Mytilus edulis: one gene and its partner. The protein of the gene in region 1 interacts with the protein of each later gene in a biochemical or structural test. Links are inferred from orthologs where the notes say so. Each region holds a gene or a part of one and is shown on either strand. Other genes may lie near its edges.

Evidence for each region.
Region 2: the proteins of dihydrolipoyllysine-residue acetyltransferase component of pyruvate dehydrogenase complex-like (region 1) and pyruvate dehydrogenase E1 component subunit beta, mitochondrial-like form a complex in vitro, tested with the Homo sapiens proteins (2 studies listed by BioGRID and IntAct, with this or other methods). The link is inferred for Mytilus edulis from reciprocal best matches to the Homo sapiens genes DLAT and PDHB.

What each region holds. Positions count from the first base shown.
Region 1 is NC_092355.1:10,356,487-10,372,415, reverse strand, and holds the start of dihydrolipoyllysine-residue acetyltransferase component of pyruvate dehydrogenase complex-like, read left to right. Parts: upstream 1-9,003; 5' UTR 9,004-9,063; coding exon 9,064-9,173; intron 9,174-11,572; coding exon 11,573-11,646; intron 11,647-12,477; coding exon 12,478-12,704; intron 12,705-13,604; coding exon 13,605-13,895; intron 13,896-15,030; coding exon 15,031-15,257; intron 15,258-15,929. Other genes in the region: MORN repeat-containing protein 2-like, read right to left, coding at 1,079-1,322, 2,100-2,180, 5,220-5,237, 8,741-8,750.
Region 2 is NC_092344.1:86,488,320-86,504,502, reverse strand, and holds the start of pyruvate dehydrogenase E1 component subunit beta, mitochondrial-like, read right to left. Parts: upstream 8,590-16,183; 5' UTR 8,497-8,589; coding exon 8,464-8,496; intron 4,615-8,463; coding exon 4,552-4,614; intron 3,804-4,551; coding exon 3,696-3,803; intron 2,978-3,695; coding exon 2,915-2,977; intron 1,686-2,914; coding exon 1,650-1,685; intron 1,115-1,649; coding exon 1,052-1,114; intron 528-1,051; coding exon 483-527; intron 1-482. UniProt on the Homo sapiens protein: The pyruvate dehydrogenase complex catalyzes the overall conversion of pyruvate to acetyl-CoA and CO(2), and thereby links the glycolytic pathway to the tricarboxylic cycle.

The DNA of each region.
Region 1 (15,929 bases):
TTAGGGAAAGCATAAGCAACTATGAATTAGGTAAAATTAAATAATAAATTGTGTTACTAAATTAACTTTCTGAAAGAATAACATGGATTTGCAGTTAAAACACATTATAGCTGTCATTTATTTGAAGAGTTGATATCCATAATCATTCATCAAGACAAATCACAGTTTATATTTGAAAAGTCCTCTTCATCAAATAGGCTAACATGTATTGACATCTACTAAAGGACCTTTCATAACTAACCAATAGAAATTTGACTAACCTTTCCAATGATTTCAAATATTTGAATGATATTGAACATAATACCTTTAAAAGTTTACATGAAATATATAGCCATAAAGCCAATAATAATTTCTCATTTAGAATAGAAACGCTTCCTGATTTTATTTTTGTTGTTGATAAATCTAATTAATTAGTTGGCAAAAACTAGGTTTTCTGACTTTTGTCCAGCCATTTAGAAAATACTTGGGAAAAACTGGGGTTTATTGGGTAATACTGGGCAATACTGAGTAATATGAAATACTTGCCTAAATTTTATAGAGGAGTCAGTGATTTATTAAAAATCACAAATGCAATGCATCAAAGATATTTATAAAAATAAAATGTAGTGTTTTAATTTATAAGTTTAAGTCCCAGGAGTATCACCAGCCCAGTAGTTAGCACTTGGGTGTTGACATGAATATCAATTATATGGTCACTTTAAAAAATTTCCTGTATACAAAAGTATGAAGTTTTTCAAAAGACTAAGGATTTTCTTATCCCAGGAATAGAGTACCTAAGCCCTATTTATCACATCTTTTTGGAATTTTGGGTCCTCAATGCTCTTCAACTTTATACTTTATAACTATTTTGATCTGAGCGTCACTGATGAGTCTTATGAAGATGAAACATGCGTCTGGTGTATTAAATTATAAGCCTAGTACCGTTAATAACTAATTGGACTCTTCAATTATTATTAAGTGTATAAATTGGAGAAAGTTTGTTCCAGCATTTACTCTAAGACAAGTGTAGGTGAAGACACATTAAATAAATTAAATTTAATTATGACCTTGGCTTATGAAAATGAATCTTATTGTTTACCTGTTTTCAACAAACTGTCCTGTGTAAGCTGAATTGTTAGGCCAGGTATATGTTCCTAAACCATGAAACTGGTTGTTTACAAACTGTCCTTCATACTTAGCACCAGTAGGATGTGTCAGGGTTCCCTGTCCATTCATTTTATCCTGGTTCCATTCTCCTTCATACATTGTACCATCAGTAGTGACATGGATTCCCATACCTGATCTGTCCATTGATCCATCCGTCCCATGTAAATAATCTCCTTCTGAAAATATTAATGTAAAGAGATCGTAAACAAAGTACTGTTATTTTTATTTTATTTGACCAATTATTCACTTGATCTAAAATCTAATCTCCTTCTTAAGTTAGAGAAAGAGTTCAAGAATATAAAATTCATTCAGACAAAAACTTTAAAAAAAAACCCAAAAAAAACTGATAGCAACAATAATGTCATGAGAAAAAACATCTATTTCATTTGATATACATTTGTATTAAGTGTTTTTTTATTCTTCAATGTTTTACTTAATTCAGTGGCGGATCCAGAAATTTTTATCTTTGGCCCCACTGACCACCTAAGAGGGCCCGCTCCAGGCATTCCCTATAATCAACAAAAAAAAATTCACAAAAGGGGGGCCAGGGCCCCCTGAAAAACTCTCTAAATACGCCTCTGCAATTTATTTTCCAATGAATTATAACAAATGTTTACTGAAATTTGCTGCTAAATAGTGTAAAAATTAGTTTCTTTGAATTGTTTGTGTACACATGTACTTTTGTTGGTGTCTTTACACTTTCTTTTTTCCATGGGAATTCTACATAAGACAATAATGGGAAAGCTATGGACTTTATAGTGCTTAACCAAATATGTCTATAAAATATATAAATATGCTTATGGTACATGTAAGTAGGGGACAGGGAACAGGTTTATATTTCTCTGCTTAAGACTTATCATGCGCATGACTGCCCCTTTATAATTTTTGGTCTGATTGGTCAACTTCTCTTTACAAATTTACACAACTTCTTTGCTTGCAAAAAGTATTCTTACCATATTTATCTCCATTTGGGAAAACATAGACTCCTTTCAGCACAGTAGGAGTTGCCTCTTCCTTTTTCTTGTCCTTCTTGTCTGAAAAAATATAAACACAAATTGAAAATTTTAGATAACATTATTTTTTATAATTTAAACCATAAGCCATTTATGAGATGTGCATAAGATTTTGTAATTATAGGATCCTTTTATCTAAAATAATGTTTGAAATCTTCTGAAGGGAGATAACTAGTGAGCCATGATATACATGTACTAAATACTGTAATCTTGACTGCACTGGTTATATTTTTTTAATTAAAAAAATTCTGGTTCATTTGATACTTTAATTTCATGTGATACAGCTGCACTATGTTTAAATAGTGTAAACAAAATTTTAAAATGCAAGTTTTGATTTTTTTAAGATAATTTTGAAACAATAAAAAACATGACTAAAATTAACAGTAACCATCATCATTGAACATTACTGTAAACTAAAATTTGAGTAATTTATTTTATTGAGAGTTGTGTTTAATACTATCAGCCCTGTATACCTTGAAAATACACAAAATTCTACATTAGTATCAATGCAAAAAATTAACCTCAGGCTTGGTATTAAAGAGTTATATATATGTGAAGCACATTCAAAAATCAGAAATTTGTGAATTGTGACCTGAAGAGGAAAGAGTTGAGAAACAATTTATAATGATAAGGGATGAATTTACTAATGCCATACACATGTGAATATACTGTAATGTAGGTCAACATTTATATTTTGGGTTAAGTCCAGTCAAACAAAGTTTGCAACAGATTTTTTTTTAGTTCTAATCTAAAGAAATATTAGTACCCAAATATACTCAGAATAAAGTCCCATAAAATCATACTTGAGGAAAACTCAAATTTTACATTTTTAATTTCTTATGGAAATTAACATTGGAAAGGAAAATAACTCTGCAAAAATGATTTTTTTGGGTCAGTTTTTGGTTGATTTTCTTAAAATTCGTGTAAAATATGATACTATGATGGGGTTATAAGTTTGTATTTGTCTTCATTAGTTAATTTTCTGCTAATGAAATGTACAAAACTGAAGTGTTATGGGTATTTCTAATTTTTTTGGCACATTTTTCTTTAAAGAAATTGCAAATTTATGGCTTTGTGACCATTTTGAAAAAATAATGTGAATATTTATTTTGTTTAAAAAATCTTTAAACCACAAAAAGAAGAATATATATGCTTAATTGGTTTTATTCAATTTGAGATTCTTTACCTTGACATGCGGAAAAAATCTAATAAATGGTCAACTAATGAATTATGACTTGAGATAAGATATGAAAACACCTTTAAAGTTGTTTGTTATACTATAAAGACGTCTTAAATATATAGAATCAATACATTCTGTTGAACAGAAGCGGTAAAGTTATAATTTTATATCAATTTTTATTGATATTTATGTCTTTTTTGCAGAGTTATCTCCCATAACAATGCAAATCTCCATAGGAATTTTAAAATCATTATTTTTTGGTTTTCCTCAAGTTATATTTTAGGGGACTTTTTTCTGTGTATATATTTGGGGTATAATGCTAAAGATTAAAACTTAAAAATCTTCTGTTCAATTACTTCAAGGTTAGGGTTAAATTTGTGCTAGATTGACTGGACTATTGTGATTTGTTTGAGGATAACAATATGGAGGTGTAATAAGGGGAGATAATTTGTGAATCTGTGGTATGATATATACTATATTGCAGATTGGATTTCAAACAAAATGCTATTATTTTTATTGAGAATTTTGTATACCATATCAACATAATCAATCACATATATTTAAATAAACAAAAATCAAAGTTATCATTATATACATGTATATATCGTCGCTGTTATGCAAAAACCTCATATCTAACGTTTTGATAATTTTACACCAGGCAGAAAAAACTGAAATCTTTTTATCGATTATTTAGAATTTAATATGTATGTTCCGCTGTATGCGAAAATATCTGATCTTCTAACCAATCAATTACCAAGACGAGCAAAATTTCTGCACCTATATTGTATTTTCATTATTTTTAAGCTAATATATTAGCTTTGAGAACCTAAAATTGATAAAACTGTAACTGTAATAATGTCAGCTGCTGTGCAAAGTGTTTTTCTTTTGAGATACGATATTTTCACACAACAAAATGTCTCACCAATCCGACTACACTATTTCGTCACATGTCAGAATTCGGGTTAATGATTGGTTAGAAGATCAGATATTCTCGCATACAGTGGAACATACATATTTAATTCTAAATCTTCGATAAAAAGATTTCCGCAAAAAATTGAGATACGAGGTTTTTGCATAACAGCGACGATATGTAGTTTGTCTTTGTTAATCTTTACAATGTACTGATAATTATTGGAGTAAACTTTAAAAGAAATATTGCTCTCAATTTATTTAAATATGTTTAAAAAGGGCTTTTCAGTGGCGGATGGATCCAGAACTTTTCATAAGCGGGGGCCTGCTCCAGTCATGCTTCAGTGATTCCCTATATAATCAAATATCAAATTTTTTCCATGAAAGCCCCCCCCTCCTGAATCTGCCTATGCTATTATTTTCTATTTCAAAGTCATAGTGCATACACACAATACATATGAAACATAATCTTTAATTTGATACATAAATCAAGACCAATTGGACATCCACCAACCACCATACATCTTATATAAAAACACAAATTACAGCTTGGTTTAATCAAATGGTAAATTTCCTCAGACTGTTTCAGATTCTTGAAATAAATACTGGAAAACAATACTCATATTAAGGCAGAGCAAAAATGGCTTGTTTCAGCAATATTTATTTTGTTTGTTTTTTTTATTGTTTGGTTATGTCTTTAAAATGTAATACAAAAAGCTTTAATCACAAACATTCACATATAGTGTTAGTTGATTTGAGTTGCTGGAAACTACTTCTATGAAATTACGTCATGTCAAACAGGTGGATACAGAATTTTACTGTGGTTTTCAAATGCAATGTGAAAACAATGCAAAAAATAAGAATACAATTTCATTTTAAATAATTTCTGAGAAGTAGTTTCACAACAATAAAACACATTTTACAACAACATTTTTATTCATATTTAGATTCACACAAACACGACAAATTACCTTCAACTATTTGATTTTCTGAAATATTTTTAAAATTTAAGATTTGTTTTTACTTCTTTACCAAGAGACAATCATGGTGAAAAGTTTCAATCTTGTTCATTGAACTGAATGTTACAGTTTCTTCTTTTGTTGTGCTCTTTCATCACTGTCCCAGTTTAGAGGGGGGCTAAGCACCAACAGATATGTTCAACCCCTCCACATTCTTTATGTCCCTGTCCAAAGAACCTGTAGTTTAGTGGCAGTCTTCACGATGAACTGCTAGATCTACAGGCCCAGAGCTCAATTTTTGAAAATTTTTAGTTAGATTCTGTTGGCCTGAGGATATGATTTTTACAGGCCCGAGAGCAATTTTACAAGCCTAGGCTGCCTGGGTTGCCACTCAGCATGAAGACTGTAGTGGTGGTCATTGATTCATGTCTGTCATATTTGTTTTTCATAAATTGTTTTGTTATAAATAGGCCATTACTTTTCTCAATTGAATTGTTTCATATTTTTTCATTTCAGGTCCTTTTATAGCAGACTTTACAATATGGTTTTTTTCAATGTTATAGGCTGTATGGTAGCCTTTAATTGGTTACATCCACTTCATTTGAACTTCGGTGCATATATGTCTCATACCATACATGTACATCATCTCCTAAACTTTTTTACAAATAAAACCTTTTTGTTGTTCTTATGATAAGTGTTTTCTCAGAAAATTTAATAAAAGAAATTAAGCAAGTGAATAACTTAAATTTAACATCGATGGATTTTTTTTTATCTTTAATTGCTTCACTGCACATGCTGTAGGCTATATATTTCTTTTTTCATTTTAATACTTGGCTCTAAATTTTTAAGCTATCATTTTTATGTTAACCTTAATGTATAAAAACAAAGTAAAACATAAATCCAATTGATGGTTATAGAGTATAATGGGCCAAGTAAATGACAGTGGACAAAATGAATTATAAAAAAAGTGAAAACTTTCATCAAATTAAAACTTATATGTGTTGTATTGAAAAACAATTGATGCAGGCAATACTGTAAACCAACTTATTTTCGCGACTTTCGCGAGTAAAAAAATAACGCGAATTTAAATCGTAGTGAATATGGAAAGCTTGGATAATTCCTTTTTAAACTTCATCAAGTCAATTAGAAAATCGCGAAATTAAATAGCTGCGAAGTGGTCATGAAAGGGTAAAACGCGAAAAAAAGTATCCGCGAAAATAAGTTGGTTTACAGTAGTCTCAAAAGTTTCTTAAATTCAATGGTATGGTTGAAACATTTCACTAATTTAATAGTTGACAATATATTTCTACAAATACAAAGTCTTTGTGTAAGATCTAGATGTTTAAGTTTGAATATATTTCAGTTAAGAAGTTGAATTAAATATAAAATGTGATTTTAAAATGATAAACAAATGAAGTTAATACATGTAATATTAGCTGAGGAAATGTAGTAGTCATTTTAATTGATAATATATTGTGCTTAAGAGTTTTATAGATTTTAAATTAAAAGAGTTATCAATTATGTGAGCAGTATAACAGAACTAATTGCTGCTACAATAAAAAACACAATGTGATTCATTACAATATTATAAGTTATGGTAATTATAACACCACGCAAATGAGATGTGAAGATCATTGATGTTAAAATGTACACAGAGTTCTGTAAACTAACAGTTTATTATCACAACTCCCTTGAATTTAAATATAAATATACTTAATAATTAAGGGTTTTACAATTTGTTTATTTCTTATAAAATAGTTAATAAGTTACATTAGCATAATAGACGTAATTTGATTCCTCTTTTGCTCAGAAAAAGTCACCTTATGTTTTGTGTACATTAAATAGAAGAACTCATTTAAAAATAGGAGCTATAAATTGAATGGTCTTTTGATGTCTCTAATTCTTTTTAGAAACATTTTGCTTTGTATCAACATGATCAATATTTTAAGAAATAAAAAGTAAAATCACAAAAATAATGAACTCTGAGGAAAATTCAAAATGGAAAGTCCCTAATCCTTAAATCAAACGGCAAAATCAAATGATAAAACACATCAAACAAATGGACAACAACTGTCATATTTCTGACTTTTTTTACACAAGATTGGTCGATTATTTTTAAGCATGACATGTGAAAGTCAAATAATTAAGTGTAAAAACAGGAAACAAAGTCCAGCATGACAAAGGAAATTACATTTATGAGCTAGAAAGGGGACCCCCTATTAAAGAAGAAAATAATAGAAAAAAAAACTTGTATTTTAAATTTAAAAAAAATTCCCGCAAAAATATCATTCTATTTATTTACTCAAATTTGTTTTAAAAAATCAGACTTTTTTATTTTCCTGCATCTGCGCAGAAATCTACTTCCTTCTTTCGGTCTTGTTTGTCATGAGAATATATATACATGTATATAGTAAAATATAGGGTAACACGAATGACCGAATAACACTGTTATTATCGGAATAACACTTGTAATGACTGAATAACACTTGAAATTTTAATATTAGCACATATTGGTGACTTTTAAACATTGATTATTAAATAATAATATATTATCTATGTATTTTATATGGGGACGAAGTCCCCAATTACGGTAGAAAAATCAATAAAAAAAAAAAAAAAAAAAAATCGAGAAAATGTCCTGAATTTTTCATTCTACTAATGAACTCAAAATCGTTAACTTTTTTTTCAGATCTACATCCGTTTCCGGTCTTGTTTGCATGAGACTTTGAAAAAAATGTATATTTACATGTATCATAAAATTGAGAATGGAAATGGGGAATGTGTCAAAGAGACAACAACCCGACCAAATAAAAAACAACAGCAGAGGGTCACCAACAGGTCTTCAATGTAGCGAGAAATTCCCGCACCCGGAGGCGTCCTTCAACATATCAACAAATATAGGAAGGAATTTAACACTTAATCATTTTTAATAATTGTTTGATATCAAAAAGACGTTACCTTTTATTATAACAGCGTTTGTTTGTTTACATTGAATATGACGTCATAACTTAAATAACGTCACAACTAAATACCTACCAACAGAACCAATATCGGAAACGTTACTGTATTTCCATTTCTTTTATCAACATGTTTGAATTAAAAAAAATAATAATACAGACTTCGTCCCCATTCACCATGTTCACAGGTAATGCCTGCCTCATATTAACTTAAAAATGATTTACAGAAAGCAGTTAAGTTCATAAAGATCATTTAAAAATGTGTATGTACATCGAACATGGGGACCACAAAAATCACAATGGATGTACACACTAAATTATATATCTATAAGTCTAGTAAAATATTACATACAGACTTCAACCTTTTATAGGTTATGCCTGCCTCATATTATGGCAACTAGCAGGATACAGGATTGTCATAAAACAATATAAGGGCGATCTTGGATCAGTCTCCGATCCCCCTCCCCTTTTCCCCAATGTCAATGAGACCCCCATTATCAATTTATGGTCATTTTACATTTCAATTTTTAAAAACAATAAAAAAAAAAAATTCTTTTCCTATGGTCAATGTTATACCTGCAGGCATGTCTGTGTCAGGTAATCTGTTGAATAGTAAATTATAAAATCTGTGAACTAATAGATGGAGGCAGACATTTGTAAACAAAACACCATGGAAATGAACTCACGCGAGATATTAAACTTAAAATTAGTTTCGGATATATATGCAAACTCACAGAAAAATATAATAATTTCTCATTTTAAACCCTTAATTTCATTCTAAATTTATAATTGATCTATTTGAAAACAAAACGGAAACAAATAATCAAATAATATGTACGAAACTACCTGTGACATTGCTGCTGACATTGGACAACAAGTTGCAGACAACAAATTTCAAAATGTTTCGTCCAACACGACTTGCACGTGTATTGCTTAGACTACAAAGAAAACACAGCAACAATCTAAGAACACTTGCTACCAAAAATAATCAGTTTTATTTAAAATCAAGGTACAGACAAGAAATGTTTCACATTCGGCTTTCATGATGAAATCTGATGATCTGTTATATTATTTTATTATCTGTATGAGTACGTTGTCGATACCAATACTGGCTTTCATATAACGGTATGAGAGCGCTGCCGATTTATTGACGGGGCGTGAGAGCAGATTTAAAGTTTCTACGCTTGATGTGCGCACTACAGTGTCGTCAAAAGCTGGTTCCACTAGAATAATTATTTATCTTCTCTTGAAAAGGATTTTGACTCTTATGACAATTGTATAAACTTGTTTACGGTTGTACACAAATTTGTCTGTCATTATTAAAAAAAATACATACAAGGTCATGAAGGTCCTGCATAAAAGAGCATCACATTGACACAATAACATTTACAATGCTTATATCCTGTCTGACCTGGCCCCTTGAACTTTTGATGCATACAACAATCACTTTTCCATTGTGTCGTCAGATATTTTGTATTATGACCTCAAAATTTAAAGGAAACCCGTGTGATATCCAGTAATGGTGGACAAATAGTGATAAGGTGTATATTGACATTGACACAGCGTCAGCGTGATCAGTAACATATTTATTGACAAGATATTAATAAAATGTCTTCAAACTAGTTTTAAAGTGATGCCAGTGTATCAAACTTGTAACTTATCTCTGAACATGCAAAATGGTACAGAATGCAAAAAATAAAAAAATGGTGTTGAAATTGAATAACATTATAAATACTTTCCACAAATATTAATCAGATTTTTTGGTCATTTTATATGACAAAATATATCAACTTTATGAAAAAAAACTTGTATTTATTTACGATTAGAATTAGGTAGATTCATCATGTTCATTGAGCAGTTCAGATACATTTGTAGTTTTCAGTTAGACACATACATGTATATATAATCCATAAATCTCGTTAAGTCTCATGGAGTCAGAGATTTCATCAATATTTTATTCTAAAAAGCCTATTTTATTCATTTCCTGTTAAATATACTGTTCCCAGGCGTGATGGATATTTTAAAACCTGATCATGATTTATGAAACAAGAACATATGACCATAAAAGACTTAATTGCACTGTTAGCTATATATATAGATGGTTAGTATTTAGCTGAATTTATTTTTCTCCAAACGATGCAAGATATTTCTGAGAATTACCTTTAGACCTTGAGTAAAAATCACTTTACAGACCATTTCATTGAGTGTGTAGATAGAGGTAATATCTTTGGTTTGCTTGCTTGCTGAACCATGAAGTCATTATTAAAACAATATCCAGGCTGACTGGTTGGGATGTCTCTTTGGCACATTACCCATTTCCATTCTCAATTTTATTTGAATTAGTCTCAGTTTACTTTTTAATGAAATCTTACTATACAAATCCTTGATGAAATGCAGGACAATTAACTATTATGAGAAATTAAGATAGTGTTTCCTACAGGTGGTTTTGGTGTGTAATGGCGCCCTGCCGCGATTTCTCGACGCCCTGCCCTTTTTGGGAAAAAAATTTGGCGCCCTGCCCTAGTTTTGTCGAAATTCCTGACGCCATACCTTTACGGTACTGAAAGACATATTTTATGAATACCGCTCGAGTTATTTCCCTTCAAACGTAAACAAAAGTTCACTAGGACGCCATTTTGTAATCGATTTCGTAATCAGCTGATTAGCAAACTGCAATAGATTGAAAAGTGAATACAGATACTAATCACGCGTCCTGATTGTATCCCCCAAGTCCCAGAAACATCGTTTTGCCTAGAAGATTATGATATGACATTGTTTTGACAAGAAACTAAACCGGAAAACGATTTCAAAACATCGATTGCTTAGATCAATATTTTTGACAGCTGATAGATATCTAATTTACATAATATACATTGTTTGCATGGTTGAACAAGCCAATGAATGTCGATCATGAGACATTTGTCAAAGTGAAAAGTAAAAATTCTTTGCAAACTATTTTTAAATACAAATGCTTGACTGTACCTTAAATGAAATGAATAAAAATCCAAACTAAATTATTAAAAGCAGAATAATCCAGAAAATAAATGAATTCCTTGATGAAATGTTGTCTTTTGTTTACAAACATGTCACATGATCATTTTAGGCGGGAAAAATACTTTGGAAAACACCTAAGTAACAGACAACTATTTCTGGCTATTTATAGACATTTAAAATAAACAGCTGATATGGTAGTGCCATGAAAGTAGTAAAACTTGGTGTATCTATATTAATTTAATTTGGAAATTATTTTTGTTTATGTTACCAGATGTAACTGGAACTACACACTATTTTATTTTCGCATAAACAAAAATAATTGAAGGAAAATTCTTGCTGATGATAAACCAACATAAAAAAATAATTTGCTTCTTCATATTTTTACTTTTTCCATATTTTTTGTCTGTTTTGTAGCAACACAACCAAAGATGTGCAGCAGCTTTTACAGGTTCACAGATTGGTCCAGAACTACCGATGTTATAGTTCAGGTATGATGTTCTTACATTTTATAGCAAATACACTATCATTTATTTTTTACTTGGTGCATAAATGTGTGTTTTCTTCTTGGTTCATATAAGTGTTTTCAATATAACATGTTAGTTGAAATTTTTCTCTGACACATTTTTTGATACTGAAAACAATGATTAAACTTATGGCAACTAGTGGCAGAAAGCTTTTCTATTTTGAAAATGTATCAATCTTGATTTTTTCTTCTATAGCACCTACAATCATGACAATGTATCAGTTAAAATTGATTGTCATGATTATGTGACATAATGTGTCACTTTGCTTTCCTTCAAATTTACATGTTTTGAATGGTTGAATTTGTGGAAAGTTATAATAAAATAAACAGAAAATGTCTATGGATAGTGATCAAGGCTAAAAACGGATTTACCACCAATTTTATGAATAATTTCACTTATCATTTTGAATTTGATTAAAATTAAATTGAAATGTTGTTATTTTATTTATTATTTTGATATATGAGCTATTAAGATGCTTTTCATTTGATCTTTAAATTACTTTAATACAATAAATATGTAAGAGGAAGTATGCATATCCATTAGACTATTCCTCCAAAGTCCAAAGAACAATTGCTAATATAAGATGCCTATTATAAAATTTAAAAAAATAGAAATTAAGGGGAGTAACTCCAGAAAGTAATTTGATTTGAACCTAAAGGAAACATTAGATTGTTATTCAGTGCACATACCAAACTATTTACTAAAAAAGAGACTTAATACGAAGTTTCTAAATTTGTTCTACAAAGGAAAAGGTCACGGAAGAAAGCAAATGAATTTATCTGGTTTATTTTGTAGCCGATTTACCAGCACACACCAAGGTTTCGTTACCAGCCTTATCCCCGACCATGGAAATGGGGACTATAAATTCCTGGCAGAAAAAGGAAGGAGACAAGGTTGCTGAGGGAGATTTATTAGCAGAAATAGAAACGGATAAGGCCACTATGGGGTTTGAATCATCTGAGGAGGGTTACCTGGCCAAGATATTTCATCCAGCAGGGTCTAAAGATGTTCCCATTGGGAAGGTAGGAGAATATTGATACAGTCAATTGAAGTAAAAGAAATTGATAAATTTCATAGGTGAAGTGAGTCCTGAGCATTCTAAGCTGACTTCTGAATTCCATATTTTCCTGGGAACAAAAATTTATGTATTAAAACTTTTTGATTTTAGAAAATGAACTTGTAGTCTTAAATTGGTACTAGCTATAGACATATATATATAATGCATACTATAATATATATGGACTTTCTCCTGCAATCGAAGAACAATTCATGGCCCATAGCTGTTTTCTACTCTAAGTCTTTGTTGTTGTCTCTGACCATTTTCCTGTTTCCATTCTCTATCCTATATAGTTACAAAAAAAAAAAAAACTCAATGAGAAAAGATTAAAGATGTTTAAAAATAATAATAAAACAGCATATTTTTTTTAAGGTATGCATTTCAGGTTTTGGCTAACAAATCCTTGTTTTGAGCTCTCACCTACACAGAAGGGTTGTCTTATTTCATCAAAATATGCAACAAAATTTAATCAAAAACATATAAACATTTTTCATTGGTAAATGACAGATAATGAAAGAAGCCAACTAAGATGTAAACACAATGAATTATAATCTTATTTACTGACCCAGATTTATTATTAGGAAGGAACACACATACACTTCATATAGAAAAATAAAACCGTCAAATAAATGTAAAATGTTAAAAGTGAAGAGTATGCATTTATAAAAAAAAGTTAACAAATTTAGATTTCACTTACATTAACACTGTACTTGACACTCCTCCTAAGTTGACAGCTGTAAGTTGAGATATTAAAGTGCCTTCACTTTGTCCCATCCCATGCATATTTTTATCAGCCCTTTCTGTCTTAAAGGTAAGAACAAAATTAATATACAAATAACAATGCTAATGATTTTTTTTGTTACAGTTACTCTGTATAATAGTAGAAAATGAAGAAGATGTTACAGCATTCAAAGATTACCAGCCAACAGCAGCTGATGACCAACTTCCTAACAGTGATGCTTCTGAGCCTGCTGCACCTCCGCCTCCACCCCCTCCTAAACCATCCCCAGCGGCAGTGGCTCCACCACCAACACCAGCACCATCAAAGGCAGCCCGTCCTCCTGCAGCATCTTTGTCAGTGCCTCCATCTGGTGGCAAAGCGATAGCCTCACCATATGCAAAGAAGTTGGCAGCTGATAAGGGCATTGATCTTAGTGTTAGTATTTATAGACAATCAGGGGACTTACTTAAATAAGTGATTTTCTAAATCACTGATTCAAGTAACATTATTTCCATAAAGGTTGGAAGTTAGAGTTGTCTTTCTTTAATAATAACCTATTTAAGTAGTACAAATTAATCACTAGAAGAAGTGATTTAATTTTATTATTGTTCTAAATATAGAATACTAATGATCCAGGTACTAATTTCTAAACTTATCAGAACCAAAATCTGTGTTGTCTAGGATAATGACATAAAAATCACTTGTTTAAGTATCAGACCTCAATTTTCTTCCCAAAAATCACTTCTTTAAGTATCATTCTTTTAATAACCCCTACTAATTTCAACACCCCCAAACAGTGAAATTTTATCGTGAACAGTAGAATTTTATTACATAATCTGAAAGATGAAACCTTGAACTTCACAGGAAATATACCCCTGACACTGCTGGGAAAAATCTTTTAAGAAAGTATCAGTTCATTATGTAAAGCCATTATTATAGAATTTTTACAACTAAAATAGAATTTTCAGATAAATGATAGCATCAAAGTCATAAACCTTGCTACTTAAAAGAAGCAAAAAGTTCTTTTTTTTTTTATTTAACTAATTTAAAGATAATATTTAAACCTATGTTTTTGAAATTTTGAAAAAAACTACAAAATCCCAATTTGTAACAAAACCTCGAATTTGCTATTCAAATAAGTGATTTAAAAATCACTTATTGCAGTAAGTCCCCTGACTGATAGAGAACTATTTATTTGTATTAATATGTTAACATACTGTGCTGATTGTATGAAGCTTTTAAGTAACAGATATTTCAATTTCTAGTGATTTTTCTTGTTATATTGTATATATTAGGGACAACAACATGTACTTTAGTATTTCATGGATCGTTTTAGTATTAAATATTCATGTATATTTTTATTTCATTTATAAACACAATTTCAACCTATTTTTTTTTATATAAAATAGGTGAAAAAATCATTATTACTGCTGTGTCAGTATCCTTTGATTGGACAACAAATGTTGCTTAAAAAAAAAGTTTAAACAGCTAGTTATTAATTTTAGGAAACCTATCTTGTAGTGATTATCTCATACAATTTATAAAATTACATGATATGTTTTAAACATAGCAAGTAGCAGGCACTGGTCCAGGAGGAGAAATCAGGGCAGATGATGTACTCAACTTCTCACCATCAGCCGTGCCTACATCTGTTCCAATATCAGCACCAGAGGGAGCTTTCGTAGATATACCTCTGACCAACATGAGAAAGGTGATAGCAAAGAGATTAGTGCAGTCCAAACAGACAATTCCTCATTATTATTTAACTGTGGATGTTAATGTAGATAAAGTTTTAAGGTAATTGCATTTATAATTTATGGACTGAACACATTCCTGCTTTAGGAGAAACTTTAATTGGTTAATTTTTGAATTCCCAATTTAATTGTTTATTTTTATTTGAGAAAACTTTTATTTGATAACTTATTAAAGCATTTAAGCATGAAAAAAAAGAAGTATGAAGTTTTAAAAATAATAAAAAGTATAAAAATAACCTGCTTTAAAGGTAGAATATAACCTACAGGAATGCAATTAATTAGACACTTATGAACACTTATGCTTAAAAATACAAAAATGCCGAAAAGATCATTTCTTTAGGTCCTATCAAAATTATTGTTGTTTTAAATCAAAGGATATCCATAAGGTTTTGGTTAGGGATTTCGTGCCATAGGGTGCAAGTTAATTCTAAGCTTCTTCTATCAATAAACACTTGCCATAATGATATAGCTAATGTGGAAGGGTGAAATTTAAATGGTTTGTATGTATATAGTTTTAACTTTCAGAATTGTACTTTGATCTATATGATGTTATGTTTTTCTGTATAATAAATATCCATTGGAACGTATTTATTGGATTTGTTTACTTATTTACAGAATAGAATCTTATGTCAATAATAAAAGAATAAAGCATGCTGTTTTGTTTATCTTTAGCATATAAAGATAAACAAAACAGCATGCTTTATTCTTTTAAGAC
Region 2 (16,183 bases), on another chromosome or scaffold:
TGATGAATGTTAAGATATCTCTCTGATCATTCATTGGAAGCTATGACAGAAGTGCAAACTAATGATATCATTCTAATTCTAGTGTTTTGTGTGATATAGTGTAAAAGCAAACTAAAACTTTTTGTTGATGTAAACATGTGAAAATTTGAGAAGTAATATAACATTGTATACACAAATGTATAATAACAGATGTCATGGCAAGAACTACTCTGTCACCTGTTCTCATTTTCCTACAACCTCTTGTAACTTTTGAAAACATTCTCTTGTTATTAATTGAAGATATAAGAGTCGAAAAATATTTTCAAAATCAACAAAATATAAAAAGGTTGATATGGATGATATAACATTACCAAATCAATTCTTGTCAACAATTTCAATAGATGATATAAAAATGTACAAAACTTAAAAGTTAACAGCCACAGAAATGTTTGTTTGTATACTAGTTTGTCTGGTTACTAGAGCCTTCTCGTATAATAGCTTACCTGCCCTGCTGACATATAAAATGTTTTAGCTGCTGAGTTGATCACCTGAAATTTAAAAGTATATAAATCTGATCACATTGATTATACAGATGAGGGAAACTTGCTTTTCCTGAATCCATTTTGACACACAATGATGTATAAATTTAATTAGCAGTAGTTCTATATTAAAAAAACAATTATTATTCTATTGATCCTGTATAGGAAGGATTTTAACTAGACTGAGCCATAATTCAATTCTATAGCTTAAATATACTTCATTCAAACAATAAATCTTTGAATTGAATTGTTATCATTTGTCAATAACTCAGAATAACTTCAAATTCAACATCATGTAACGAAAAATTATCTAAAGTTATCAACAGTGCTTTTTTTTGTTTTATGCATTTTTGTTTTTTGTTTTAAAAAAACCTAAATATTTTGAAATGAGGTACAAGATAAAATAAGAATAATTTTTCAGTTATTAAGCATAAGATTAATTATAGGTTTTCAAGTGTAACTGTTTATATTAAAATACAGATAATTATTGTTAAAAATAACAGAAGAAAATAAAATTAAAGAATATACCATACCTGATCTATTGCTTGCATGGAGAAATTAAATGTCATGAATTCACATATTGGTTTCAAGCCTGCCTGAAAAAAAAAAATTACATCTACAGTTAGATGGTAAATAAAGTGATCTTGATTTTATGTATTATTATAGTCATTCAAATTGCTTATTTTGTAACCATTTAAATTCTGTGCATTTGTGTTTATTTCCAATTATATTGTACTAGAAAGGAATAATTCTTGCTACTATAAAATGTAAACGCTCATCAGAATGCTCATAGGTGTATTACAAAATAAACAGGACAAACAGCTACTGTTACTTTCCAGATAATGCTTAATCCAATGTAGTGATAAGAATAAAGGCATGCTGTAAACTTTAAGGTTCCCAACTAATTTACACGTTAATGCTACTATCAAGTTTAAAAATCAACTAATTTATTTTATGTACAATGATCAAATTGTTCATACAGATTAAGATGGGTTGCTTCCCCTGAATAAATGTCAATATGGACCGTTGTAGCATTTAAATATTACAGACTTAACATGAGGGGAGTTATCTCATATATTTGAACTAATAATAAATTCAAGATGTATGATTTATTTAGTTTATAAATATTACCATAGCTGCTCCTACTGCAATACCAGCAAAACCCATCTGCAAAACAAAATGTCAGAAAATTTCTAGATGAAATAATACAACAAACAATATAGAGGCATGAAGATACAGTTACATACTGTCTATTTAAATAATCCTGAAACATCAATAAAGGTAGAAATTAACATTTCACAAAGCTGCTATTTTTAAATCTCAACTTGTGACATTGAGGTTGTTATTTTGAAAATCAAATATGCAAGAATAATATAATAATGTTGGGTTTGTCAATTATCTAATCCCATTGTAATTACTTCAAAATCTAGAAATTCAAGACCCCAAACAATTTACATATAATTGGATAGTAAAATAAAGTTCCTTTGAAAAACTGAAAATTATGAAACACAAAATAATTAACTTTCCCCATTTGTGAAACTTCTATTTTCTGATTTACAGTAACTGATAATTGCAGTATAAAAGTAAAATTTAATCAGTGGATTAATAATTTGAATTTGAAACAAGAAATATAGATTCCTACACTGCAACAAGTGTATTACAATATATCTCCACTCGAGACAAGTTAAATTTTATTATTTAAAGCGTGAGGCTTGCCGAGCATTTTAAATAATTAAATTTAACTGTCGAGAATAGAAAAATATCGTAATACACGAGTTATAGTGTCAGAATCTGTTTCTCTAATGACTTTAATCATTCTTTTTCAAAGATTTTCAGAAACTTGTGTTCTTTATATGCGACGTCATCAGGCAAGGTCGCCTTTTTTCCTGACATCACAATAGGAAAATTGAAAAGAAAACAAAACATTATGACGTCATATAAATCAAATTTCGACTAATCATTTGCTGATTTTTCACTAGTGAGGAAAAATATTTTTCTCACACCAGTCAGGAAATGAGAAAATAGCACAAAAATTAGAGAAACAACAATTTTATTATTAAGAGATTGGTGAATGAATTTCGTATTTCAATTAAAAGAAATGAATGCAAACTTTAATTATGTGATAATTTTAAAACATTTTGTTACATTTTCCCACATTAAAACTTTAACAACAAATTTTAGAATTTACAATACATCATTCTGAGTTTCTTAATTATCTCCCCTTACATGGAAAAAGTATGAAAAAAAACACCAAAAAAACATTTAAATATTTCTCTGAGACAGCAATTCTGGTATTTGTGTGCACTTTATCTGTGTTAAGTTTGACTTATAATAAAGCCTGTCATAATTAAAGTTTTGGCTAGGTGAGCTTAAATTTGTTTTTAAATTTAACAAACCTCAGTAATAGGAGTATCTATTACTCTCTTGTCTCCATATGTCTTGTGTAATCCTCTGCTAACCTGTAATCATAAAAGAAAATTTCAGAGAAAAAAAATATCTTCTTTATATCACATTTACATAAACAAAAGAACCAGTAGTAGAAGACAGCTATGAGAGATGAAATCTGCTGAATTTTGTTTCGCTCTAGAAATTACAGGATAAAATATTTAGGTACACATGCTTTTTGATAAAATAAGTTATGTTTGATAATCTAGAGCTTCAAGTTTGGTTGTTTTCCATCTACTACTAACATCAGATACATTTATTGCATATACAACAAATAAATGTAAAATAAATCAAAACTTTTTTTCTTTTCTTTTGGTTTATGATGATGGCAGTTTTTCATTTTTGGATAAATTCACTAGTTTTAACAGGTTTGTACATCGTAACATTGAGGCGTAGAACATAAAGCTTTAATAACTGGAACATAGAAGAACATTTAAGTAGCCGTGTAGATATTTACAGCTAAGGCCATTATCCTGCTAATAATCTTTTCTTTCACATGTTTTACAAAGAAGTTCTCAACATTACAAGAAAGTTTCTATTTAATATTATAACACTATAGAATTTATTCCAATTATCCATAATAATATTGATGAAGGATAACTGTTCAATCAGGAACAACAAGGACTTTTCAAGGAAAAATTAAAGCATTTAATTTATATATCATTGTATTTTGAATTAGCAAGTTTTCAATGGTTCAAACTGATTTCAATTTTGTGAGAATATATTAAGAACCTTGTAGGCACCATCATACAATGCAACTTCCTCTCCCAATAGAAAAACTTTATCATCTCTTTTGATTTCTTCATCTATAGCAGCATTCAAGGCATCCCTGACAGTTAACTGTAAAAACAATCATTTAGATTTATTTGTAATTGAATGTGCTAAAATTAGATATTATTAATTAAAATTTTGGCACAGACAAAGGTCAGTCAATGACAGGCAAACATTGGATGTGAACTGAATGATAACTTAGTTTTAGATAGATGATTTTTTTAATAGTTATTATTGGCTTTCAAATAGCTTTCAGTAACGCCAATTACTCTCAAATCTTTTGTTTGAGTGACAACGTCTTTATTCTTTTGTGCTTTGTATTATTCTAATGAGTTAAAGCTCTTTTCAACTGATTTTTATAGTAATGTTGAGCTGCGTCACCACTGTCCAAGATTAGCGGTGTGGGTTAGGGCTTACAAACATGTTAGGAGTCTGTAATTTGGTGGTTGTCTTTTGTTGCTGTACATTTGTATATCCTATTTCTTTTTGTTCATGGTTTTGTTAATAAAAAAGTAACCCCTGCTAAACATATGTGGTAAAAAGGAAGCTGATGTGTGATGGATGTAAGACCACTGCTGGGTTTATTTTCTAATTTGGATTTAAAATATACTATTCTACCACTCTTCTGACACGCTTAGCCACAGACCCAGCAGCCCAGACATGTAAAATTGCTTTGACTTTGAGGTCCGTAAAAATCATCTCTACAAGTTAAGCTAACAGAATCTAACTGAACTTTCCCAAATTTGAGCTCTGTGCCTGCTGATTTAAAAGTTTTTCATGAAGACTGTTCTACACAAATGACTTAATGTAAATTTACCTGAGATCCAGCTCTAACTGTCGTTGTGGAAAACTGTTTATTGAAACTTTTCAATGGCACTTTCTGTAATTGTAAATCAAAATGCTCAGACCCAAATTAAAATACTGTTTATTTTTTTCAAAGCCAACCTACACAATGGTCCTTTGGCCAAAAAATATACACTTTTGCATGTTAAAAAAATTCAGAAAAATTTTACGCTGATACATTTTTGTATATATACATGAGGTAATTTGAACATGCAATTGCATGATGATAGGTTTATGATTTTCAATGTTTGACAAGTTCTACACTCAATTTGCATACATCTTCTTATAAAAAATTTGAGAAATCACTCCAGCAGAAATTGGATTTGTAGTCAAATAAGAAAGCTCTCAAAACTTACTTTTTGAATGATTTTTTTGCAATGCAATAAAATACTTAAGGTTTTGCATAAAACTTGGTGTCAGTTTGTGCAGGAAACAAGCATATATATGTAAGTATAATTGGAAAAGACAGATAATGAAATTCACAGTAGAGTGTCATTTCACAAATTGCCAAAATTTGCCATTTCCCAGTAAGAAGACGAAATAATTTCATGAATTTACAGTTGGCCTACTTGGAAGCCTGCTACAAAAGGTTCTGATAACAGAAATAAGCATGTCATACATCTTTTTGTTGATTATTTCATGTCCATGTAGATTTTTCATAGAGAAGTGCATGTTGTTATGGTACAGCCATCTGTGGCATCAGAAGTTTCTCATGTATAAATGCTGTATATTACACAAAACAATCTGGATATTGCATAATTTTTTTTATCGTACAAGTTTTCATCTGTACCACTTTGTAGTGTTACAAGTTGACCTTTCGTTGTAAGAGTTATCTAAAGCTTATTACCAATGGACCAATCCCCTTTTCAAAAAAGATATGGTACTAATGCATTTTTATGAGGGTAGTAATGGGGTACCTTCATGACGAATAATGGTAAAAATTCTTGCCAATTGATGTTAACGATAATTTTTGGTGCATGACGGTAATATGTACTTTTATTTCAGGGATTGAACTTGAGACTTTGGTAATTGTAGCCCACAGCTTAAATTTTGTAGCCCTGATATACAGTCCTATACAAGATAAGCAGAAATTTAAGTAGCCCACACCAAATATTAGGGCCATTGGCGAGCAGGCCCCTGCTAATTTCAAACCCTGTAATTAGACGATAAAAAAAATCGAATGATTTTGACGAATCACATTTATTGATTCCAAAAATAATGGCAATGATAATTATTTGGGACCTCTGACAAATCACGATAAGGATATTTTGACGAATCACAGTAAAATTTTAATCCATTTGACGCTAACAGTAGTCGAAAATGACTATTTGACACCTAACATTAAATAATGTGCCCTTGAATCAAAGCTAGGACATAATAAATTAAGTGAGTAATCATAGTTTTGTTACGATAATACAGACAGCATGTTAATTAGCTTTTGAATCATAAATGTAACTGTTTAAACTGATTACAGTGAGCATGTAAAAACAATTATAAATGTTGTAACTGTAAGTGTTACAGCAAGCAGTATAATGCATAAAGTTGCCGTCAGCTGAAATTTGTAGCGGTTATCGGTAAAAATAATCTAAACTATCAACCACGTTTACTCATGATATAGTTTTTCACATTCCATTCATGAATCGCCAAAAGAAAAACCACTACTGACCTACCTTTTAAGTGATTGCACTGTGATAATCCTGACCTTCACATTTTCCAAGACGATTTTGAATGGTGGAATCAGGCATTGTTTTACAGGAATTGTTTCTGTGGAGTTCAAGTTCTGAAAATTTGCATAAAGCGCGGGAAATGTTGTCACATCAATGAAATGAATATTACAGGAAACTCCGAAAGTGACGAATTTCACATGTAATCAAAGGATTATCCTCATAGAACGAAGATGGCGGAATTACAATGAAAAACATTCTGGAAAATGTGAAGGTCAGGATTATTACAGTGTGATCACTTATAAGGTAGGTCAGTAGTGGTTTTTCTTTTGACGATTTATTACAATTACAATATTTTTTTTATTTTCCAAATTAAAGGGCCCATTAAGAGCATAACATTAATTACAACATGACATAAACATTACAGAGTGATTAAAGAAACATAAAATAATAATTGAAATTCAAATGCATGAAGAAAGGATCAGTGGTCAAGGGGAGATAATTATGATATATTTTAGAGTATTTAACTAATTTTCTGATTTTCTTAGTTGCAGGCCTTTATCCAGGTATGCACATAAAATAGATAAAAATCAGCTATCTTCATTAATCATGATCCATGAAAAAAGATCATTTATATTTAAACTATCTAAACTGGGGTATTTTTTTATATAATCAGTGATATCTCTTCTGAGGTTATTGTAAATTGGGCATTCCAGAAGAAAGTGCATTTCATTTTCAATACAATTTGTATTACAATATAAACATATCCTCTCATGTCGAGGTAATATTTCATATTTACCACATACATTGGTAATTCGTTCATGTCTGCCAGTTTCTATTCTTAAACAGTGATTGCTAAGTCTGTATTTTGTTAACAAATGTTTTTGTGGGTGCTTTAAATCTAAATAATTTTCATAGTCAAATGACCTTTTGAATGAAAAATAAGTGTCCAATTTGCCTTGATTCTGTAAATAAAAATCTCGCATTTTCTCCCAATCATTTTGAAAATTTAATTTGAGCTGTTTTTTCAATACAGTGGAGTCCCCGGTGTCCGCGCGGCCCGTGTTATCGCGCATTAGCTGATTTCGTCATATCAACACAGTAACACATACAAAATCGTTCTTGTTAATGTTTTAGCCTTCCGAAGGGATAAAAAAGAATAAAATTGATAAGTTCAAGAATTAATTAATAACTGAAATCCTGTGATTTACCATATTTGGCCAATTTCCATTAAAAAAATTACATCATCAGATAAAATTGGTTTTATTTAATTCAAATTAATATCAGATTGAAATAATTTTTGCTCTGCATCCTTGGAAGTGTGTTTGGTACAAACTCAGCTATATTTTGTAGTGTAAAATCTTTCCTTTATTCCAAATAAGCTATTTTTGGAAGGCATGTGCGAAATCACCGGACATTGGAGGAACTCTCAGAACAGGGGTTTCCTTAATTTTGGACACACATTACACAAAATCTAGAGGATGAAACCATACAAACAGAAGATTTTATGAAATAAAAGTATATTATGAATGTGTTCACACAAAATTATCCAATTATTGGTTTTATCAGTTGAATGAAGTGAAGTCATAAGTCTTATGTGTGCGGATACACCGGACTGCACTGTAAGTTTTTAAATTAATTTTTTCCTAGATTTTTACATATATTTAGGTCAATATCCAATTTTTCACTGTAGAAAATGATATTAGAGAGCCATGAATTATTGGAACTAGTTTGACCTTTACTTTCCATCATTTTTTTACTCAGCATAAGCATTTTTCAATAAATTAGATGGAAATTTCTCTAGTCTATGCCAATACATAAACATATGTGTTAGCAAATTTATATAAAGAGGATATCTACGAGTGAACGCGATTGATAGTTTAGATTTTTTTTTACCAATAACTGCTACAAATTTCAGCTGATGGCAACTATAGTTACAGATCTTTTCTATCAGTATCATCACACATGATCAATCTATTTCATCTGACTATTTTTCACATTTTATCAACACTAGAGTGTGGTATTTCATTTTGTGTTTAGTAGAAACGGTCGGAAAAGTGTCAAAGTGAAAATAACGACGAGTTCACTGTAAATGTATGTTTCTGAAAACACCCAGACACCTTCAGAATGAAACCAACAAGTATCTTCCCTGACCGAAATGTTTGATCAATTTTTCTAGCATTTCGTCAGCCCAAGATACATTTTCTACTCATTAAACATACTCGCACAATTCGTTGAACTACAGCGGATGCCATATTGGATCACAGTAACCTTCACGCGATGTTCCACTGAAGAAAAAAAATCTGGATTCGTCTAAATACCTAACCAGAATATTTTCAACCGTTGTTTTCCACCAATCTCCCATCGCTCATCGAAGAGCTATCAGCCGATAGAGGGCGCATAATATAAAATACAGTCAGCCTAGTTTGATATTCTATAATTAAATAATTTATGGGAAGACTGCAGCATGATTTTATGTTTCTGCCCCCTTTTAAATTTCCAAAATATGGTCTCTTACCCTTGATAATTAAGCTTTTCCCAGATTTAAATGAAATGAAGATATAACTGAGGGTTTGGATGGGGTTAAATGTTGTAAAATGATTAAAGAATAATGCCCTTAAAAAATGAAGATTTTTTTAGCTAGAGAATAACCGGCAAAAAAATTGAAGATTAGAGACAAAAGGCGTTAATTTTTTGAAGATTAGAGAAAAAAGGGTTTAATTTTTTAAAGATTAGAGAAATAAGGGGTGAAAATTTAATGTTTACAGAATAACAGACCCCCCCCCCCCCCCCCCCCCCCCCCCCACATCTAGACCCGCATGACTACAAAAAAACTGCTATATTGAAAAAAGTAGATTTTTGGATAAAACCGTGTGTTACTGTTAGAGTGGGGTGCTCATTTTCGCCGGGGACACAATTTCGCCGTTTAAGGATTTTGAGGTGTAAAACCTTCAAAGGATGGCTGAAATGGAAGAAATGTACCCGTAAATTATATTTTTATAACAAATATAATATTTTTTTAAACTGAGACAAAATTGCGGGTCCTACCGAAAATGACCGAAAAAACGGACAACGATTTTCTGACAATTTCCTGAATAAAAAACGATTTCAAAGAAGTATTTCTAAGTAAATATTTGACTGAATGCCCTAATTTTGAATTTTTTATACCTTTGAAATGTCTGCTATTCATCTATAATGCAATTGATTTGATAAAAATTGTTAAAAGCTGCGGTTATTTGGTTTTAAATAGATGTGTAAAAACGGCGAATATGTGTCCCCCATTGACAAAACATCCGGAAATTTCAAACACCCTTTAATCTAACTTTTCAGATGATTTTCTTAAAACAAACCGGTTTTCAAGCTTAAGTATATTTTGCATTTGAAGTTATCTTCATATAGAAATATCAGTATACTTCAAAAACATTTAGACCTGAACATAAACTGTAGAAAACATGGAAAGATGTGGCGAAAATGAGCACCCCACTCTAGATCTACATTTACGCAATTCATGGTCACCAATTTGACTCAAATTTTCATATTTTATTTATAACAATGCAAAACATTTATCCAAACTATCAAAAGTGTGAAATAAACAGTTTACAGAGCATATGGTAACATAAATATTGTTATGTTTATCTTTTTAATACTGGTTAATGAAATCATTACAGTGTACTGGCTGGTCATTATCGCGTATGATACGATTTTGACACGCCTACATAGCTAATAAATATTCATGACTTTATAGACAAAGAACAGCACGTGTAGCCATAAATACTGGGAGTTGTAGATTTGTAGTATAACTGTACATATGTAGTTTTGAAGAATATAGAATATTTACAAAAATATAGTTATTAATTATTAGTATCCGAGCAAGTAAAACACGGATCTATCAATATACTAATGATTAGATATAAATATATTAAGCCAACACGTGCAGTTGGATTTTTATAGGTCTGTTTAATTTTATTTTATAGGATAAAAATGTATGTTTCTCCTCGTTTTTTAATGTAGAAGAAAGATTGTTAGTGGATCGAATCAGTCATCAAATGATTTGCATTTGTTTCACTTTCAATGTTGACATTCCTTTCCTTCAAATAAACAGTACATGTACAAAGCATGCGTTGTCCATCTCTAGTCAAGGGGTTAAATTGAAGTTCACATGAATACGGATTTAATGAGGTCGACTCAGTAATTATTCACTTGCAAGTGAATACTTCATTATCAATATTATTAAGCTTAATTTGACCAAGGAGGTTATCTATAATACTAAAATTACGAGGTCCAATTTGTCAGCCATCATCACGTAAAAACGACGAATCAAAGAATTCAACTTTATATATAACTAATATAGTACAAAGGTGTAGATTAAAAATTACACCACTCCAAGCCCTTTTGTTTTCCACGTAATTAATATTGCCAATAATTAAGAAGTTCCGGGTCGAATCCGATACCGATACCAATACCAATAGTATATTCACCTGTTACCGATTACCTTATCTGTACGTTCCACATCTGACAGGCGCACCACCAAACGGTGTATTCAGGATTAATATGCACATATAGTAATTACACGGGTCATAATCACAGGGTTGACACTACTTAATTGTCAAATTTTATTTATAACTAATATAGGACAATGCTGTTGATTAAAAAATACTCCATTCCAGGACCTTTTGTTTTCCAAATAATTAATATTATCAATAATTGATAAGTTCCAGTTCGACGGGTTCAAACAGAAAGATTTAAAAGCAGAGAAAACTGTGTATCTTATAATCGGCATGACTTTATCAGATGACAATACTAATACTAAAATAAGGCTTGCGCATAGTTATATACTTTAATTCAGTCACGGACCCGCGATATCACGGGTGTGTTCTAGTATGTTCTAATATAACCTCCTAGATTTGACAAAATTGTTCCATTTTGACTGCTAAAAGAGAATTATTTTATTATTTCACTTTTATTATTGATTGAACAAAAACAAATCATACTTTAGATTTTTATACATCTCGTAGCTAGTGTCCCTTTAAAAATTGTGAAAGTAATCAACTAATGTCTAGTCGAGATTCACGTTGATAGTAAACATGCATATTTAAAGTAAAAATATGGTATATTAGTATATATATGGTACAAATAAGTGATATATTAAAAAATCTGAGATTTATGATAATAAGGGGGATGGAATATGGGGTGCTCATAACAGGATCCTGTCCTCAAGCAACTATGGTTGAAACTGGGGGAAACAGTGTTATCATTTTCAGACTCAAGATACTTTATGATCGTAACGATATTTTTCATATTATTGTTACACTTCCATGTAACCATAGCCAGTGCCAAGAACAAATCTATCAAATTCAAAATTCAAAATCAAAATTCATCACATGGAGGTAGAAAATATACATACAGCCAGTCTATCATATTTGACGTCACAAATTCATTCCCGTGCATGAATGGTATATTTGAAGGAACTTCCTCAATCCTCAATCGTATGGCCTTTAGGCATAACGGTTCTAATTGATACATATTAAAACCTACGTGGATTCTCCTTGTAATTTTCTCCATGTACTTTAATTTTGTTCTTGCTGTTACGATTGGGGTTGCAGATGTTCTGGTAAGTCAAAACGTCCGTGTTTTTATTTGCAATAAAGTCCCGGAAACGATTTCTAACTTCCGTTTATATTTTCCTGTGCTTTCTTGGTCTACTGACTAAATCTTGCTAGTAGGGTGGCTGTGTTTATATTGCGTATTCCTATTTCCTATGTTATTTGTCGGTTAATAACTTATGCTTCGTTCACGCGTACATTTAATTCGAATTGAATGCGAATCGAATTCGCTAATCGCGTTCACACACTCTTCTTTTTGAATTCGAATTGATTCGAATTGACTAATTCCAATTCGCATTAGAAATACGCTTTTGTTAATACGAATAAAAAGTTAACGTCGTTTGGACAGTAAAGCGAATTCGACGCGCATTGTAATATAAATTAGAATTGACGTTAGGACGTAATGCGAATTAAACTAATTCGAATTAGTTAATGCGAATCGAATTCGAATAACGTGTGAACTCAGCATTAAGGGGACGACCATTTGATATTCTAGGGGTGGGTGGGGAGGATTTTGAAAATAAATAACTCAGCCTTGATAATCACAAAAATAAATGGTTTGTTCTGTGGTAGTTTGAAAATAAATTACCTGACTTGCAATGTATTGAAAATAAATAAGTCAACAGGTCTAGTCGAAAGTATGAGTTGGCACCAGATTCATCATAAATTCATCTTTTTTAAAAAAAAAATCGCCTTCGTCAAACACTGCCTAAATTGTTTAATAATAAAAGTATAAATATTATTTAAATATACTTGAAATGTCTGTAAATTGGCTTCATTTAACTTGAGGTATGTTTTCTCAGCAACACTTTAATACCTCACTTTTAACAGGGCCGTAACTACATTTTGTACATTAAGGCAAATGCCTCATGTAGAAAATTTCAAAACCAAACGCTTGTCTCCATATCAAATTGTTTTCACGTCGAGTGCCTTGCAAGAAGCAAGTTCTGTTATCCCTAAAACGTAGCCCCTGATTTTTCAGGATCAATGTTTCTTATTTATTTGTCTTTTGTTCATTGATTGCCCTTCTGTATTCTGTTAGTGTTGCATTCCTTTTGTTATATAGTAATTTTGTTATTAACTTGATCATGAGTTTAAAAAACAGAAGCCTTCAGTGGCTCAAAAACCCTTTAAAAAAAAATTGCCTCGCTCCGCTCGGCCTATAATGTTTTGCCAATACTTTTTAAATAGGCTAGATACACTCAATCTTCAATATAGTGTCTGGAAGCAATACATGTATATGCAGTTGGGAATATAGAAGATTCATTTCTGCAGAGGAGAATGATTAATTCTGATTAAATGGTACATCATGATGACTTAACTATACATGTATTATTTATAATTTATAAACAAATAATTTAAAAATTGGATGTTTTCGAATATTATAAATATAGTTGTAAAAATAAATAATCAGTCCCTTGCTTTAATGAAAATAAAAAATCTTGCTTCAATAGTGCAGAAAATAGATAACATGTCCTCTTAGTTTACAAAAATAAATAACCGATCAAAAACAAATCCTCCTGCCCCTCCACCCCCACCCCCCCCCCCCCAGAATATCAAATGGTCGTCCCCTAACTTGCTAAGATTAAGTTGAAATATCATTTCCCGGTGACAAGATAATATAAAACCTAAACTACTCAACGAACTGGCCACAGAAATAGCCCCAATCCTTACAATCATTTTCAAAACATCAACAGAACTGGGGATGTACCAAATGACTGGAGAAATGCGAACATAACACCAGTATTCAAGAATGGAGAAAGATATAAAGCAGAAAACTATATACTAATCTCTCTAACTTGTATCTGCTGCAAACTAATAGAGCATATAGTTACAAGTCATATAATGAAACATGCTGATCAACATCAAATCCTCTATCCGTTACAACATGGTTTCCGTAGTAAACGCTCGTGTGAAACCCAACTAATCGAATTCGTGGATGACATCACTAAAAATATGAGTGCAGGTAAACAGACAGATGTTCTTATAATGGATTTCTCAAAGGCATTTATCAAAGTCGATCATAGTCTCACAAACTAGAACATTACGGTATCGGTGGTAAAACCAATAGATGGATTGCTAGCTTCTGATCCCATCGAACGCAAGCAGTAGTAGTGGATGGAGAGAGCTCATAACATATTGATGTAGAATCTGGAGTTCCCCAAGGCTCTGTACTTGGTCCTGCATTATTCTTGTTCTACATCAACGACATGCCAGATGGGATCAAATCCTGCTGGTGAAACAATAGCATATCTTACCATCTCATCTGACAAAGATTCAAACGACCCCCAGAGCGACCTAGACAAACTGGGAACATGGAAAGTCAAATGGAAAATGTCCTTCCATCCGGACAAATGCAATGTTCTTACCATCAGCCGCAAAAACAACACCATTCCAACTTCGTACATATTGCATGGTCACAAACTTGAACCTGTCAAAAGTGCTAAATACCTTGGTTGCACCTTCACATCCGAACTGAAGTGGAATGATCATATCAATAACATATGCAATAAAGCCAATAAGACAATAGGCTCCCTTAAGAGAAATCTAAACATAGGAGCAACCTCAGTCAAAGAAAATGCATACAAAAGCCTCGCAATACCAGTAATAGAGTATGCAAGTCAAGTATGGGACCCATACTTTAAAACCGAAATAGATCGTCTAGAAATGATCCAGAGACGAGCAGCAAGATATGTTTCCAACATACACCATAATCACTCAAGTATCAGCAAAATGATTGAGCACCTGGATTAATTGACCATCTCTGGAAAAAAAGGCGAAAAGACGCTAGGCTAAATATGCTCTATAAAATAGAACACAACAAAGTGGCTGTAACTAAGGAAGGTCGTTTTATGCAACCAACACGACTGTCGAGGAACATGCACGACAAAAGTGTCTAAATATTTCAAACATCATAATGACTAAATTTTTGTTTGATTACAAACCATATAGTAAATTGTGAAACAAGTCAGAGCACAAAGATTTAGTATTAATTTTACTCTAGCGTTCAGCTACATGCTGCTTGAATTCGAAAAGTGACTTCTTCTACAACATAAAAATGCAACAGAGATGAGGTATTGTACTCAGTATTGTTGGCACTTTATAAACGCATTTTGACTAAATTAAAACTCTGATAAATCCATGTATATGCATCGAAAAGTTTACTGATGCCATATGAGTAAAAGATAAAGTCAAAGTCCAAATTCCCTTGAAGTTCTAAGGCTTTATTTATAGACGAAATCAGTATACAGAAAACATTAGCTCTAAAGCTATTGAGCTTTTATACCGTCTTATAATTACAAACAAAACATTTAAAACAAAACAAGCATGCTACACACACAAGACTGAGCTACACACACAAGACTGATCTACACACAAAAATAATCATTACATTGAAGCATACATTACGATATAGATGACACGAATAAATTAAATATGTTAAACTATGCAGAACTATTAAAAGTACATGCATAAACAATCAATAATGCCAACATACAAAGCACTTTAAAACACATTAGCAATTATAGCAATCTAATTAAAAACCGATCTCTCATCGATCCTGTTTCTGATATGTCGCGTGGGAGATCTAACGAAACCGGCTTTGAGGTCACATGTGAGTGAACTAAAAGTTATGAATTTATAAAGATATGCAAATGAGTTGACGACCTATTAATAAGCCAATCAAAAAAGTTTATGAATTATTTTGACTGACGATTTCGTCGTAAATAAAATGAGTTACATCCCTTTGCCTTACGTTAAACTTCCAAGATCGTGGAAGACTCAATTCCATTGGTCGAAAAAGACACACCTACGAGGTCACTCACATGTGACCTCAAAGCGGGTTTCGTTAGATCTCCCACGCGACATATCAGAAACAGGAGCGATGAGATATCGGTTTTTAATTAGATTGCAATTATAGCACATCAAGCAGAAAAAAAGCACTAAAAAGTATAGCATTAATAATGTGCGGGTATTGCATCGACATAAGGTACCACTTTAGGCGACAATAAATTTAGAAAATTGTTTAATTTTTTTTTATCTCTAAAACTTGGGGTAGTTCATTCCAAATTTTGCAGCTATGTATCTAAACGAATTGAAGCCATGTATATAGCTGTTGTTCTCCGTGACCTGGGGCTGTTCAACTGTTTTTTTTATTAACCAAATCATTTGAATATGATGGACTCTTTTTGTGTATAATTTAAAAAAAATCTATATAGCTATTGCTCGTAATATTCTGACCGTAAGAGATGAAAGTTTTGACTTGTGTAGAAAATCTTCATATTTTACCATATTCACCCGGGAGAGGGAACTGGTCGAAATGTAGTTGGGATCAAGATTT